Astyanax mexicanus: one gene and its partner. The protein of the gene in region 1 interacts with the protein of each later gene in a pairwise test. Links are inferred from orthologs where the notes say so. Each region holds a gene or a part of one and is shown on either strand. Other genes may lie near its edges.

Region 1 (7,907 bases):
GGAACAATATGCTTTGAAAAGAATAATCTTGGGTCTAGTCCTAATGTTTTGTATCAACAGCAAGAATTCCCTCCTTGTACAGCCACCCTTAAAAAGTCACTCTATCTGATGGTAGATTCTTTACTTTGACACCGGTTGCGGTATGAGCTACCTGTAGGTCCCACAATGATATTAAGTTTGTTTGAGTTTTTTTCATGTATCTCTTGGGCTGATCTTGTAGGGACATCATGGTCTGGTCATTTTGGCAGTTGTTTCATATGTAAATAATTTAGCAGACACCTAAATTACTGATATCTAGTTGTTTTCAGTCATCTTTTGATCTTGCTATAATGATTTACTCCCTTTACCAAACAAGAACAAGGTAAACAAACTAAACTAAATGTCTGTGCTTTAAATAATGCTGCATTTCATTTGTTTCCAGAGATCAGAATTTATTCATGTTCAAAGTTAAAACAATGTACTGGAATGCACCAACAAGCTGGAATAACAAGATATCTCCAACAATCTGAAAATGTCATCACAGGATCTACAGGTAGCTCTTACCACAGCTGATACAGATGACCACCAAATGTCTATAGGATAAAAATGTTTACAAAAAGGACAGAAAAGTGTCCCCCCTTTTTCAAATAACTGTGGTTTCAGTATCCACAGTTAATCTCCCTCTGCATCACAAAAGCACCTCTTACCCGATTGTCTTCCCCAAGACCCTGTATGTCATGTAAAACAATGCGAGCCAGCGAGGGATGGGATCGAGTTGAACAAGCATGTGTCACAAATCAATGGTCACGCAACAGAAAAATATCCTTCATACATGGGTGTGTCCACCTAGTGACATGTAGACAGGCCAGGCAAATTCACAACAAAACCACTTTAATGCACTTTAGTGTAAATAACTTGGCAATAATTGAGAATAGCGTCCTAATGCCACTGTGTTTCACTAAGCTAGTAATAAAACTAGGGCTGGACAATAACTTAATATCAATAAATCACAATACAAAAATGTCTCAATAATAAATTTCAACATTTCAAAAATATGTTACTTACAGTATCTGTCGCTGGCTAATGTTTATTATGGGATGCATTGCATGAATTGGCAAATTCAGTTTTCAGACGTCTGTTGTGGTCCTTGGAAGTTTTTTTTCTGTAGATTTTATACTGCACGTGTTTAATTGATAGCATAATTATATCAAATTAACTGAAATAAGAAGTACTGTTATGTAAATTCTAGACATTATCACCCAACCCTACCCACTAAAACGCTACTAACTGAACAAAAACAAGTTAAAGCTGATTTAATGAGCAGGTCTGCCTGCACAAAGTTCTAAAAAGATAATATTTAAGTTAATAAACATAAAACATATGTAATATGTAATATTGTAGTTATATTAGCTAATACATTAATAATAGATAAAGATAAGCAACTGGTCCAGCCACAGCACTAAGAAAACAGCTCACTCATCACTACGTAGCTAACATCCAATGCAGCATAGCTTGCTAACCTAGCTAGCTGTCTACATGTCTGGATAAAAGTCACATTAAAAAGTTATTAAACTCACCAAAAAACTAATCTGACGATTTAGTAAAGTTGGCAAACATTCACCGTTCAAATTAAATCGCTACCCATTGCATTTTAAATTACTATAAAATCTAAAAGGTAACTAGTTAACACCCTTAGCTTAAGTAGCAGGCTAACTACCTTAGCTAAAGCTAGCTTTGTTATATTAAGCTAAGCCAGCACAACAGTTTACAACAGTTTACAGGCTAATAGTAAAATGAGTAAATATTTATTTTAAAGAAATATTTTATTCAAAACATTTAGATAACTAATTTAGCTAAGCAAAGTTCATAGCTATTCGTTGGCTAGCAAATAAACAAGTATGAAGCTAGCTAAGCTAAGCTTACACTTTAGCCAGCACGAGAAGTTCTCGAAGCGGCTAAACCGCTAACGCTAGCCAGCTAACAGTAGTTGCTGTATTATCGGAATTTTAAGATAAAAAGGAACTACATGTGAATTTTCTTTAATCTTTAAGAATATTTGACATTTTAACTAATTCATAAAACAGAGGAGAAAACGTTAATTAGCTAATGGCTATTTATATTCATATCTGTATAAATAGCGTCGATTCAGTTAGCCAACATAGCTTAGCTAGTCAGCTGTGTTACTTAAGCTAGCTAGTTAGTTAATTGTAGTTCTTTTACTGCCAGATTTAAACCTACAAGCTATTTCATTTAACTAACTAGTTAAATAAGCAACTAACGAGTTAAATAAATAAATAAATAATCTATATATCTAGCTAAATATCAGCTAGCTAACTAGCTGTCTAATTACTTATCTGCGCCTTTTAAAACGAGTTAAGCAAGTTCACAGCTAGGCTAGCTAGCTAAACCAGCAAGCTAACGCTGGCTGGCTGGTGCTTGGTGGAGATGTCTCCGAACTGGGAGTGAGTCGGCAGTCATTTGTAGTTAGTTATATGTTTTACAGAATATTTTCCAACAGATCAATAGACTGTTAGCTATTTTTAATATATTACCAGACAAAATGTGTAGCACTAGTAGCTAAACTGCACACTTTAAAATAAAGGTGCTCTTTAAATAATGCAACAGAGAAATACTTATTTTTCAAAAATAAACTAGTTAACCTAGCTAGAGAACTACCATGTTTGTAGACGAGGTTACTTTATAGTTAGCTATTAAAAGAAACTCTTAAAGGTGTGATGAACCTCAAAGATTGAGGTAACGTTAATATTTTCTATCCATTTAAACTCATTTAACCTAGCTAAATTAGTTAGCTAAGCTAGCACTCCCAAAAACAAAGGTGCTACAAATGGTTCTTTAGCTAATGACACAAAACAACAACTTCTTGTTCCATGAAATAGGTTAACTAAGTGGTTAATAGCAGCCAGCTAGATAATAAAAGCAATTTTAAAGGTCTGAAGAATCCCAAACTAGATGCAGTGCTAGCTTACGCTAGATCTGCTTTGTATAAAACTCTAAACTTAGCTCTTTCAGCACTCTTCGCTAGCTTAAACAAAGCTGCTACAAATGTTTTTTTGAACATAACCAGAAAACAACATGTTTCATTCCATAATGTGAGAATGAGAACCCTTTTAAAGGTTTAAAGAGCCTCAAACCTGGTGTGATTTGGTTTTGTGAGCAGGCAGCAGTTGGGAGCACAAGGAACCAGCTGGAAAACAAAACAGTAACTTACCAAGCCTTTCGCTGTGTTGCTTCAGGACTCCGTGTTCGTCCGGGAATAACGCCCGGCATGCGCACCGGCCCGGTATAAAAGGAAAAATCGGTTATTGACTGAGATTTGCACAACTTTACTGAGTTATTCCGCTCGCTAAGGCAGTGTTAGTGTTTATGTAAAGGGCTGGCAGGCGGGCGGGCGGCAGCAGCAGCTCTGAAATCCGTAAAAGAGTGACACCCACTCCGACCAACATGGCGGACTGTAGCTGATAGATCGACTGGGAGAGAGCGGTAAAGGGTGTGACCAACTGAAACACTACAGACACTAAAGTCAATAAAAAATGTATTTTTTTTACTAATTATCTCATATCCACAGAGATGGCGAACGATGTAACTAGTAAATGTACTTTCAGAAACGCCCTCAATGCTGTCCAGTAAACTTTACATCAATCCAACTCTCAGAGTTTCATTTAGAGAGCAGTGAGGCTGGTCTGTGGGTGTATATCACCCCCCACAGGTTCAACTGAGCCTTTTAAATTAAAGAGAAATTTAGTGAGAAGCTTTTTACAAGAGTTTTACAAGACAGACAATTTTAATAAACATAGGACTTTAAATAAACTTTATTTATAAAGCGCCTTATACAACACAAAGTAGCACAATCTAAACAATCTGCTTGTAAGACAAACAACCAAGAGAATATAAAACATTAAGTATCAGAGCTTTTTTAAATAATTTCATATCTAATTTTTATCCAATTTTCACAGCCCACTCATTAGGACTACCCCTATCACTAGTAAACACCAGGTGGGTGAAGACTAGCACATGCCTCCACATGCCACACAAGTGAAGTCAGCCATTGCCTCTTTTTAAACTGCTGTTGATGCAGCATAGCCAAGTAGCATCACAGTGCGCTCGGAGGAAAGTGCAGCGACTCGGTTCCAATACATCAGCTCACAGACGCCTTGTGCTGAGCGCCATCACCCTCCAGTAGCCGATGGCAAGCTACATGAACAGGCTTCGAACCAGCAATCTCCTGATCATAGTGGCAGCGCTTAGCCCGCTAGACCACTCAGAGTCCCATTGAATATTAGAGCTAACTACACTGCCTGGCCAGTCTTACCCTGGATTTAACTTAATTTATGTAAATGATCTGGTGTGGCTGCAGTTGATCAGGTCTAGGTTCAGCAACAGTATGTGCTGAAAGAATGAGGTCAGCTGACTACCTAAATATACTGAATATAGACCAGGTTAATTCATCAGTGGATTTTTTTCTTCCCTGATGGCACAGGTTATACCAAGATGACAATGGCAGGGTTCATGGGGCTGGAATTGTGAAAGAGTGATTCAGGGAGCATGAGATCATTTTTACACATGCATTGTTCACCACAGAGTCCAGACCTTAACCCCATTGAGAATCTTTGAGATGTGCTGGAGAAGGCATTAACAAGCTCAAAGTAGCTCACATTTTATTGGTATAATTTCGAGAGCCCTGACATTTAAAAGACAAAAACAATGAGTAAATGCAAAATTAGGTAAATTAGTTAATCTATACAAAGTCAAAATTAAGACCTTTAGTATTACAGAAATGGATCATTTGTTTGATAGTTTTAAATGACTTAGTGATGGTAAGAATTTTGAAACAAAATTCAATTAATTGCGTTTGATTAAACATTAATTGCTAAGAATAATTAAACTAGAAACATTAATGCTTTATTACTAGAGCCTATTTGCATTAAATCATAACTTAGTTTTGGTTTCTATTTTCCAGTTATGTAAAATAAAAGGCCTCAACAAGCTGCACATTATTACTAATACATTCTGGAAGAACATTTCTATCAATGTGGAATGGTTACAAAGCCATTTCTAAGACTCTGGGGCTTCAGCAAACCACAGTGTGAGCCATTCATTTCAAGGGGGGAAAATCTGTTGCAGTGGTGAATCTTCCCAGAAGTGGCTGGACTACCAAAATTCCCCCAATAGTGCAGTAAGGACCTATCCCGGAAGCCTCAGAATATCCCAGACAAACTTCTAAGTATATCTCACAGGCCTTGAATGCCTCAGATAAGGCCAGTGTTTGTGATTCCACTATTAGAAAGAGACTGAGAAAAATTGGTCCCCGGTAAAGAGGTGCAAAATATTAAAGGCACTGCTAACCAAGAAGAACAGAAAAGCTCACCTCACACTTCATCACCTTATAAGAACAACAAAGTCAGAAAATCATACCAACTGGCAAACAAGTTGATGATATGTGTTGGTGTAGGGATGTAAATATGAATATTTGATGTCTTGTTTTAATATATGTCTATTATTTCTTTATTTAAATATATATACAGTAATATGTTTAAAGTCTACCTAAATATATGTAAATAGTTCAATTTAGTACAATAAAAGCTTTTGTATTTTTTGGTAAATGAAAGTAGTTCATTTTAGCACTCTTAATCATTAGCACACTGTAGCATAATATAGCATAAGTTGAGTATACTTGAGTCTACCTTTTCACTTGGGCAGTCACACATACAGTATCTGCACAGTTTTAAGAATAATAACAGTACATTAGCTTTATTCTGCACACTGTGTGCTTCTTTTAATACATATAAAATATCTGGCATGCAAAAACAATGTCACAATAAATATTTATTAATATTTTATTCATATTTACTAAACCTTTGTAGAATCATACAATGTTGAATAAAAAGGGAACATAATTTGTAGTTTATTACTGTTATTATGTTGAACAGTAACACATTGATCGAAACATAATGCTATTTTGATTTAACCGTGATATGATGCTGATTACAGTGCCCTCCATAATTATTGGCACCCCTGGTTAAGATGTGTTCTTTAGCTTACTCTTTTTTTTCATCATGGTCCTATATTATTTAGAAAAAAATCAATAATATAGGACCACGATGAAGAAAGAGAAAGCTAAAGAACACATCTTAACCAGTGGTGCCAATAATTATGGAGGGCACTGTGAGTTCCAGATGGGATGCTGGAGTTTTTATTATCCAGGATTGCTTATTTTAGACTCTTTTGCTTGTAGTGTTGTTCATTATACACTTAATGCTGTTTTTATGCATTACTTGCTCATGCAGTGTGTTATTATGGAAATAGCAGATGGCAGTCTTGGATTTAGTCCAGTGTGGTATAGGAACCGGTTCACTCTGATCAGGAAGCTGCAGGTCTGTAGCTGCATTTACTGCTGTTGATCAGTAGAGGGCTGCATCACATAGGTGATCTGTAGAAGTGTATAAATGAGTAGGTGTAGTGTATAGTGTGGAGTTGTATATGCCCACTGTGTTTCTTTGTAGCTCTGGTCCTATATAGTTGCTGTAATACAGGTACTAGAATTAATCAGAGGTAAAAAAAAAAAAAATATGTTTGAAGTAGTCTGCAACACTGGCATTAGTGAACTCTAGTTGATGGTTGTTCAATCCTGGTACTGGTGTCTCCCTGCCCTGCATGTTTATGGCTTCTCCTGCTCCCAACACACCTGATTTAACTAATCAACTCATCACCTAGTCCTATTAGACCTATAGTGGGTGTGTTAAAACAGGCAATCCTCTAAAATGTGTTGGGCCTGGGCATGGGCGTGGTAGTGGGGGGAAAAATGGACCTGACTACCCAGGGCCCAAGTAGGGAGAGGGGCCCATAAAAATCCTGATTTATTCATTTATTTTTAAGTGGTATTTTTATTATTGAATTGGGCCCTCTAATTAACTATTTATTAATTAATCTATCAAAAATTATTGATAACATCTACTGAGAGAATTAACTTTAGTTACAGTCCTCTCAACATATGGGACATTCTGGGAGCCCCCTCCTGGAGGCGCAAGATGGTTTGGTCCGCCCGACAGCGACCCGGCTACAGGTGTACCGTCAGTGAGCCCAGATTAAATGACCTGGGGGGCTAGAGACTTCATGCTGCCCCTAAAACAGAAATCAGGTTATCAGAAGAAGAAAGAAAGAAGGCAGAGTGAGGGGAGGCAGCTATTGACGGCTTTCTTTCCCAAAGGTGAACAGAGTTTGCTTGTTATGCTAAGTGTAATTAAAGTTAATGTAGTCCTCTCCACACAGCTGCTGCTGATGTCTGTAGGCTCACGTGAAGCCGTTAGCTTAGCAAGTTACCAACCAGGCGGCTGCTGCTGTAAGAATAAAGGTAATTATGAGCCGCGTAAGGTTAGATATCGACATTAACCGGTCTTAGAAACTCCCCCTTACGTTGGTATGTTGGTTCAAGAGAGAGAGAGAGATTTATTTTAAGTTATAAGTAAGTTATTATTTTGGTTCAGTGCGTGTGCTATAGCCTATTGTCTACTAACACAGCAGAGCTGAAAGAGAAACAGTGCTTAGACTTAATAAATGATCCACCTAGCAATATTTCTGCTGCATATATCAACATGTAAATAGCCTACCAATATCTCTGTAGGTGCGAGTACACACTAGTAATATATTAAACAATAAAGCAACTGATTATTTTTGTCTGGTAAAAAGCCTTAGCATTGCAGTGCAGTGCTTAAAAGCTATTATCAACGCTCAATAAATTCATGATGTTACCAAAGCCAATGAATAATCATGTTAAATAACTGTGATCTCAATATTAATCAAAAATAATTGTGATAATGATTTTTGCCATATATTTTTGCCAGAGATTGTAGCTTAAAACTTTATTAATGCTTTTTATTTTAGATAAATACCGCTTTTTTGCTCACGTTCTT
Region 2 (7,697 bases), on another chromosome or scaffold:
CCAACCACCTACGGAAAAAAGAAGACAGCATTCAGATATACTGATATATCATCTTCAATCTATTTCTTTTTTATTATAGGAGAAAGCAGGGGGCATAGACCCCTTTAGGGATAATTTTTTTTTTTTGTACAGCACATGGCTCAAAATAACACACAAACATTTTAATAATGGCCTTATAAATGTGTGCTCCAACAATTCTACTAAGTAAGCAATGGCAAAAAGAAAAATTACAAATGACATATTCTGAATTCACAACTGCATTTTACATTTTACTGAAACATGTAAATGTTGTTTTCTTAAACTCTAGGACTACATCAGCTGACATCACTATTTAATTTTTTTCCATTTTTACCAATTTTCTCCCCAGTTTAAGCTGATCCAATTCACTGAAGAGCTTATTGATGACCTTAATGCTCCAATCAGATTTAGTAAGTTCTTACCCCCTGGTTCAGCGTTCACCGCACCCTTTATGTAGTTGGCTCCAAGAACAGGCTGTTTGACTTCACAGCCCTTCATTAGATAGAATGGCATCATGAAGGACTGAAGAGCATCCTTCCCCTTTGTCACGAAGATTACCTGATAGAAGAACAGACCGCACAACTTTTGTAAAGGCTCTGGAGAAGCTATTTAAAGGAATAAAATAAAATATTATAATTAGACTACTGACTGCAAACACTTTCACCTAATTTATTTACCCAGGACAGACCTATTCAGACTCCCACTCCTCTATGCAGAATTCTTTCAGCGATGTGATGCTTTATCTACAGTTTGTGTGGATGGTCTTACATTTTTCTTCAAACCACCTCTGATACAATAAATAATTCATATTCACCTATGATAAGCTTGCCAGACCATCCTCTGTAGCAAAGCAACCCCAAGCCATGAGAAATGTGAATAATATACGCGTAAACTCAATTGCAAAAATCATTGTTTTCATGTTCACGTCTGAAAGAGTGAGCGGGGGGGGGGGGGTGTTGAATAATTCATTGAAGAGGTTTTAAAAGCACCAAAATCACAAAGTTAACATTCATTATCGCTGATAAGTCATTGTTGTGATTAAAGTGGAACTTACCACAGTAAAACATTAGTCACTGCAGTAAATCTATTTACTCCTAGTTAATTAAATATCTGAGGGTTTTTGTGTAACACACTTAAGTAATTCCCTTTTGTCCATTTTTTTATACTTAAGTGAAAATCGTATGGTGTTTATGCAACCGGGTACTGGACTTTGTCTCAGTGTTCTCTGGTAACTGACATCTGATTAGTTAAAGAATATCTTTTATCTCTTTTCAGACTCACCCTGTACGGAGTGAGATAGATGCTCCCCTTCTTGCTCTTCTTGAACAGCTCTGGTAAACGATCAGCATCACTGAACGACAGCTCCACGTTTTCATAGGACATCAGAACACTGTGAAGGAGAACAGTGGTGTTTTACTCTGCTGGTAGAGCGAGATTGTTTTACACAACAGAGCAGATTTACACTTAATAAATGAAGACAAGAAGATAAAACACACTGAGCAAATCTAAAATTAGACCTACAAAGTCACAAAGAACTGTGTAAATGTCCACAGTCTTACAGTCTTACATCACTGAAGACTTAAGAAGCTTAGTGACTCTGTGACCCAGTGAAGATGGGAATGGGCATCTCTCTCTTTCTGTTTGTCTGAATGTTATTTGTATTTATTCTAATACCAGTGTTTCACATACTGCTAACAGGCTTTTTAATTTTGCATATGACTGATGTGGTAAATAAATATTTATATATCACAATAGAAAATGTTTTAATAGAGATATGTTATTATACATTACTTACAGCGATTTGGTTTTGTGGCGTTTTTGTTCATATTGTTAACAGAATTAACTCAAATTTTGGCTGTTTCATCCTACATGACATGATTTATCAGAATGTATCTTGAAAAGGTAGAAATGAAGTTTATATACAGAAATACATACACACATTTTTTTCTATTTGCAGTAAGTTATATATAAACACATTTTTTCTATTTGCAGTATATATATATATATATATATATATATATATATATATATATATATATATATATATATATATATATATATATATATAGAACAAAACAAAATTAATAGAACTAAAAGTTTAAATTAATGGAACGCATTGTCTATACAGGGCCTAGAATTATCTTTATTTAGCTCAGGTAACTGTAGCTGTGTGGACACTGCCTATCTACTCTCGTTTTTTAGCTGTTTGTTTATTTAAAGTGTTTAAATAAGTTTGTTTTAATAAATGTTGATGTGCAGACGGAAGGTAAACATTTACTGGAGCTTTTAATCTGTGTCAAATATCCTCCGTCACACCAACGATTAAATATAATCATCTTCGAACTCTCCGTTCCACCTTAAACGGTGCAGCTGATCATACCAGCCCCTCACAGCGAAGTCATTTGTGGAGGAGTGCGGAGTGCTGTGAGTGAGCGCGCGGAGGCCGGTGTTTAAGATGGAACGGAGAGTTGTGAGTGAGCGCGCGGAGGCTGCTGGTGTTTAAGGTGGAACGGAGAGTTGTGAGTGAGCGCGCGGAGGCTGCTGGTGGAACGGAGAGTTGTGAGTGAGCGCGCGGAGGCTGCTGGTGTTTAAGGTGGAGAGGAGAGCTGTGAGTGAGCGCGAAGGCCGGTGTTTTGTCGAGGTATTCTACCCGTCGATACGTGCTTCCTAAAGGCACTGCGCATGCGCTGACCTATACTTTTAGATTATTTCTCGTGTTTTTCAATGCATTAAACAACCTGGACTCACTGTTATTGCACAAAAGCGTAAATGGAAATTATAAAATTTGAATGCAATAATTATTATTGTATTATGGTATTAATATAATTATAAACAAACAAAAACACGTTAGTAGTGAACTTTACCACGACACAGTAATTTATGCTTTTCAAATATAGTAACTACATCTACTGGGACTCCTGCTTTTAACATGCTGTAATATGGTGCTTCTCTTGTATTTTTACAGGTAAATATACACTAGGGGAACACGGTTTAACAAGGTAGCAGAATCAGACAGAACACCGGTACCTCTCGCTGTTGTTGATGATGACTCCCCCGGACTCGGAATGGTTCTGATTCAGGGTCATTCTGGGTTCTTCTCATTCACGCGCTGTTGGAGATCTCTCTGCTGCTGATCGGTGGATCTGATCGATCAGTTTCCGATACTGGTGATTAGAGATAACCGCACCTGCAGCTCCCGCAGCCCGCACCGTCCCGCGGAGTACCGCCCCTCCCTGACGCAGCGCGCGTCTTTAAAGGACACGGAACTTTCCTGAAGGTTCCGAATCTTTCTGAATCGATTCTGATCGGATTGGATTATCTATTTAACAGTGGAGCTGTGTTTTTTAATATATAAAGTCATATTGTTGAATATTATAGTTATAAAACAGCAACACACACCTTAATATAAAAAAATATATAAATTATAGAGTACAAGTCAAAAATCTGGACACACCATAAAGTCGTTTTAAAATGAAATAATTTAGTAATAAAGTGTTAAGAAGTGTGAGAAGGAACACATTTCAAAATAAAAGTCCCCCCCTTAATATCACGACATTATGCTGTGGAGTGGTATTAAAAGGAATCCACATAATATCACATGTTATGTCTGATATCACATGTCAATTTCATGTAGTCCTGGTAGTACACAAAATAAAAGCCCTGTAAATTATAACAATTATGTTAATTAAATAATAATAATACTAATAATAATAATACTAACAATACTACTACTACTAATAATAATACTTGTATGTGTCACTCACTTAATAGCAGGGCATTATAATGTGTCATTTCAAAATAAAGGCCCTTTAAATTTTAACATTTATGTAATTTTACACAATGTTTAGACTGTTATTAAAAGGAATCTGTCTGATATCACAGCTCAATTTTATATAGCCCTGATAGTACACCACTTGTATGTTTCACTCACTTAAAATCAGAACATTTTGATGTGTCATTTCAAAATAAGGGCCATTTAAATTGTAACATTTATGTAATTTTACACAATGTTTAGACTGTTATTAAAATAAATCTGTCTGATATCACGGGTCAATTTCATATAGTCCTGATAGTACACTACTTGTATGTTTCACTCACTTAATATCAGAAGATTTTGATATGTCATTTCAAAATAAAGGCCCTTTAAATTATAACATTTATGTAATTTTACACAATATTTAGACTGTTCTTAAAATAAATCTGTCTGATATCACAGTTCAATTTCATATAGTCCTGATAGTACACTACTTGTATGTGTCACTCACTTAATAACAGAACATTTTGATGTGTCATTTCAAAATAAAGGCCCTTTAAATTGTAACATTTATGTAATTTTACACAATGTTTAGACTGTTATTAAAAGAAATCTGTCTGATATCACAGTTCAATTTCATATAGTCCTGATAGTACACTACTTGTATGTTTCACTCAATTACTATCAGAACATTTTGATGTGTCATTTTAAAATAAAAGCCCTTTAAATTGTAACATATGTAATTTTACACAATGTTTAGACTGTTATTAAAAGAAATCTGTCTGATATCACAGTTCAATTTCATATAGTCCTGATAGTACACTACTTGTATGTTTCACTCACTTAAAATCAGAACATTTTGATGTGTCATTTCAAAATAAGGGCCATTTAAATTGTAACATTTATGTAATTTTACACAATGTTTAGACTGTTATTAAAAGAAATCTGTCTGATATCACAGTTCAATTTCATATAGTCCTGATAGTACACTACTTGTATGTTTCACTCACTTAATATCAGAACATTTTGATGTGTCATTTCAAAATAAAGGCCCTTTAAATTATAACATTTATGTAATTTTACACAATATTTAGACTGTTCTTAAAATAAATCTGTCTGATATCACAGTTCAATTTCATATAGTCCTGATAGTACACTACTTGAATGTGTCACTCACTTAATAACAGAACATTTTGATGTGTCATTTCAAAATAAAGGCCCTTTAAATTGTAACATTTATGTAATTTTACACAATGTTTAGACTGTTATTAAAAGAAATCTGTCTGATATCACAGTTCAATTTCATATAGTCCTGATAGTACACTACTTGTATGTTTCACTCACTTAATATCAGAACATTTTGATATGTCATTTCAAAATAAAGGCCCTTTAAATTATGAAATGAAATATGAAATTGACCTGTGATATCACACAGATTCATTTTAATAACAGTCAAAACTTGTGTTAAAATAAAAATATTGTTATAATTTAAAAGGCCTTTATTTTGAAATGACACATCAAAATGTTATGTTATTAAGTGAGTGACACATACAAGTAGTGTACTATCAGGACTATATGATATTGACCTGTGATATCAGACAGATTTCTTTTAATAACAGTCTAAACATTGTGTTGAAATAAAATATTGTTATAATTTAAAGGGCCTTTGTTTTGAAATGACACATCAAAATGTTCTGATTTTAAGTGAGTGAAACATACAAGTAGTGTACTATCAGGACTATATGAAATTGAACTGTGATATCAGACAGATTTCTTTTAATAACAGTCTAAACATTGTGTAAAATTACATAAATGTTACAATTTAAAGGGCTTTTATTTTAAGATGACACATCAAAATGTTCTGATAGTAATTGAGTGAAACATACAAGTAGTGTACTATCAGGACTATATGAAATTGAACTGTGATATCAGACAGACTTCTTTTAATAACAGTCTAAACATTGTATAAAATTACATAAATGTTACAATTTAAAGGGCCTTTATTTTGAAATGACACATCAAAATGTTCTGTTATTAAGTGAGTGACACATACAAGTAGTGTACTATCAGGACTATATGAAATTGAACTGTGATATCAGACAGATTTATTTTAAGAACAGTCTAAATATTGTGTAAAATTACATAAATGTTATAATTTAAAGGGCCTTTATTTAAAAATGACACATCAAAATGTTCTGATAGTAATTGAGTGAAACATACAAGTAGTGTACTATCAGGACTATCTGAAATTGACCTGTGATATCAGACAAATTTCTTTTAATAACAGTCTAAACATTGTGTAAAATTACATAAATGTTACAATTTAAATGGCCCTTATTTTGAAATGACACATCAAAATGTTCTGATTTTAAGTGAGTGAAACATATAAGTAGTGTACTATCAGGACTATATGAAATTGAACTGTGATATCAGACAGATTTCTTTTAATAACAGTCTAAACATTGTGTAAAATTACATAAATGTTACAATTTAAATGGCCCTTATTTTGAAATGACACATCAAAATGTTCTGATTTTAAGTGAGTGAAACATACAAGTAGTGTTCTATCAGGACTATATGGAATTGAACTGTGATATCAGACAGATTTCTTTTAATAACAGTCTAAACATTGTGTAAAATTACATAAATGTTACAATTTAAAGGGCTTTTATTTTAAAATGACACATCAAAATGTTCTGATAGTAATTGAGTTAAACATACAAGTAGTGTACTATCAGGACTATATAAAATTGAACTGTGATATCAGACAGATTTCTTTTAATAACAGTCTAAATATTGTGTAAAATTACATAAATGTTACAATTTAAAGGGCCTTTATTTTGAAATGACACATCAAAATGTTCTGTTATTAAGTGAGTGACACATACAAGTAGTGTACTATCAGGACTATATGAAATTGAACTGTGATATCAGACAGATTTATTTTAAGAACAGTCTAAATATTGTGTAAAATTACATAAATGTTATAATTTAAAGGGCCTTTATTTTGAAATGACACATCAAAATCTTCTGATATTAAGTGAGTGAAACATACAAGGAGTGTACTATCAGGACTATATGAAATTGAGCTGTGATATCAGACAGATTTCTTTTAATAACAGTCTAAACATTGTGTAAAATTACATAAATGTTACAATTTAAATGGCCTTTATTTTGAAATGACACATTATAATGCCCTGCTATTAAGTGAGTGACACATACAAGTATTATTATTATTAGTAGTAGTATTGTTAGTATTATTATTATTAGTATTAGTATTATTTAATTAACATAATTGTTATAATTTACAGGGCTTTTATTTTGTGTACTACCAGGACTACATGAAATTGACATGTGATATCAGACATAACATGTGATATTATGTGGATTCCTTTTAATACCACTCCACAGCATAATGTCGTGATATTAAGGGGGGGACTTTTATTTTGAAATGTGTTCCTTCTCACGCTTGCCGCAATGTTCAGTGTATGCGCGCTCTAAGAAACAGCGTGGGGGCTAGTTTGACCAAGCGTTTTGAAGTGGGGGCTGGCTTGACCGCAGTGCAAAACGCCTGCAGTGTGTGGAGCGGTAGAGCTTAGATCGGGCCCAAAAATCCAGCCCGACCCGGCCCAAATCCATGCACTTTCTGCTTGAGCCAGACCCGACCTGAGCCATAAACTGTCCTTCTGAACCCGAGCCATTTTTTAGTAATTAGAGCGTTAAAATTGAGCTATTTAAAACATTTTCGGGCTGTTTGAATTAGCGAAATCTGTTAAGAATTATGTTAAATAACCTTGCGACGCTGAAGAAGCATATACCTATTATTATTTCTTTTTTTTATTCGCTTCTTTCTTTCTTTATTCCTTGTCTGTTGTACAGGCAGTGTGAGGTTGGTGGATGGTGGCAGTCGCTGTGCTGGGAGAGT

The links. The genes of interacting proteins can lie anywhere in the genome.
Region 2: the proteins of epn2 (region 1) and wbp2 interact in binary tests that used the Homo sapiens proteins (3 or more experiments, as listed by UniProt). The link is inferred for Astyanax mexicanus from reciprocal best matches to the Homo sapiens genes EPN2 and WBP2.

Annotation. Positions count from the first base shown.
Region 1 is NC_064410.1:53,700,408-53,708,314, reverse strand, and holds the start of epn2 (epsin-2), read right to left. Parts: upstream 3,495-7,907; 5' UTR 3,209-3,494; intron 3,195-3,208; exon of another isoform or gene 3,132-3,194; intron 1,146-3,131; exon of another isoform or gene 1,045-1,145; intron 1-1,044. UniProt on the Homo sapiens protein: Plays a role in the formation of clathrin-coated invaginations and endocytosis.
Region 2 is NC_064422.1:14,045,905-14,053,601, reverse strand, and holds the start of wbp2 (WW domain-binding protein 2), read right to left. Parts: upstream 3,275-7,697; 5' UTR 3,105-3,274; coding exon 3,046-3,104; intron 1,409-3,045; coding exon 1,300-1,408; intron 577-1,299; coding exon 441-576; intron 9-440; coding exon 1-8. UniProt on the Homo sapiens protein: Acts as a transcriptional coactivator of estrogen and progesterone receptors (ESR1 and PGR) upon hormone activation. In presence of estrogen, binds to ESR1-responsive promoters. Synergizes with YAP1 to enhance PGR activity.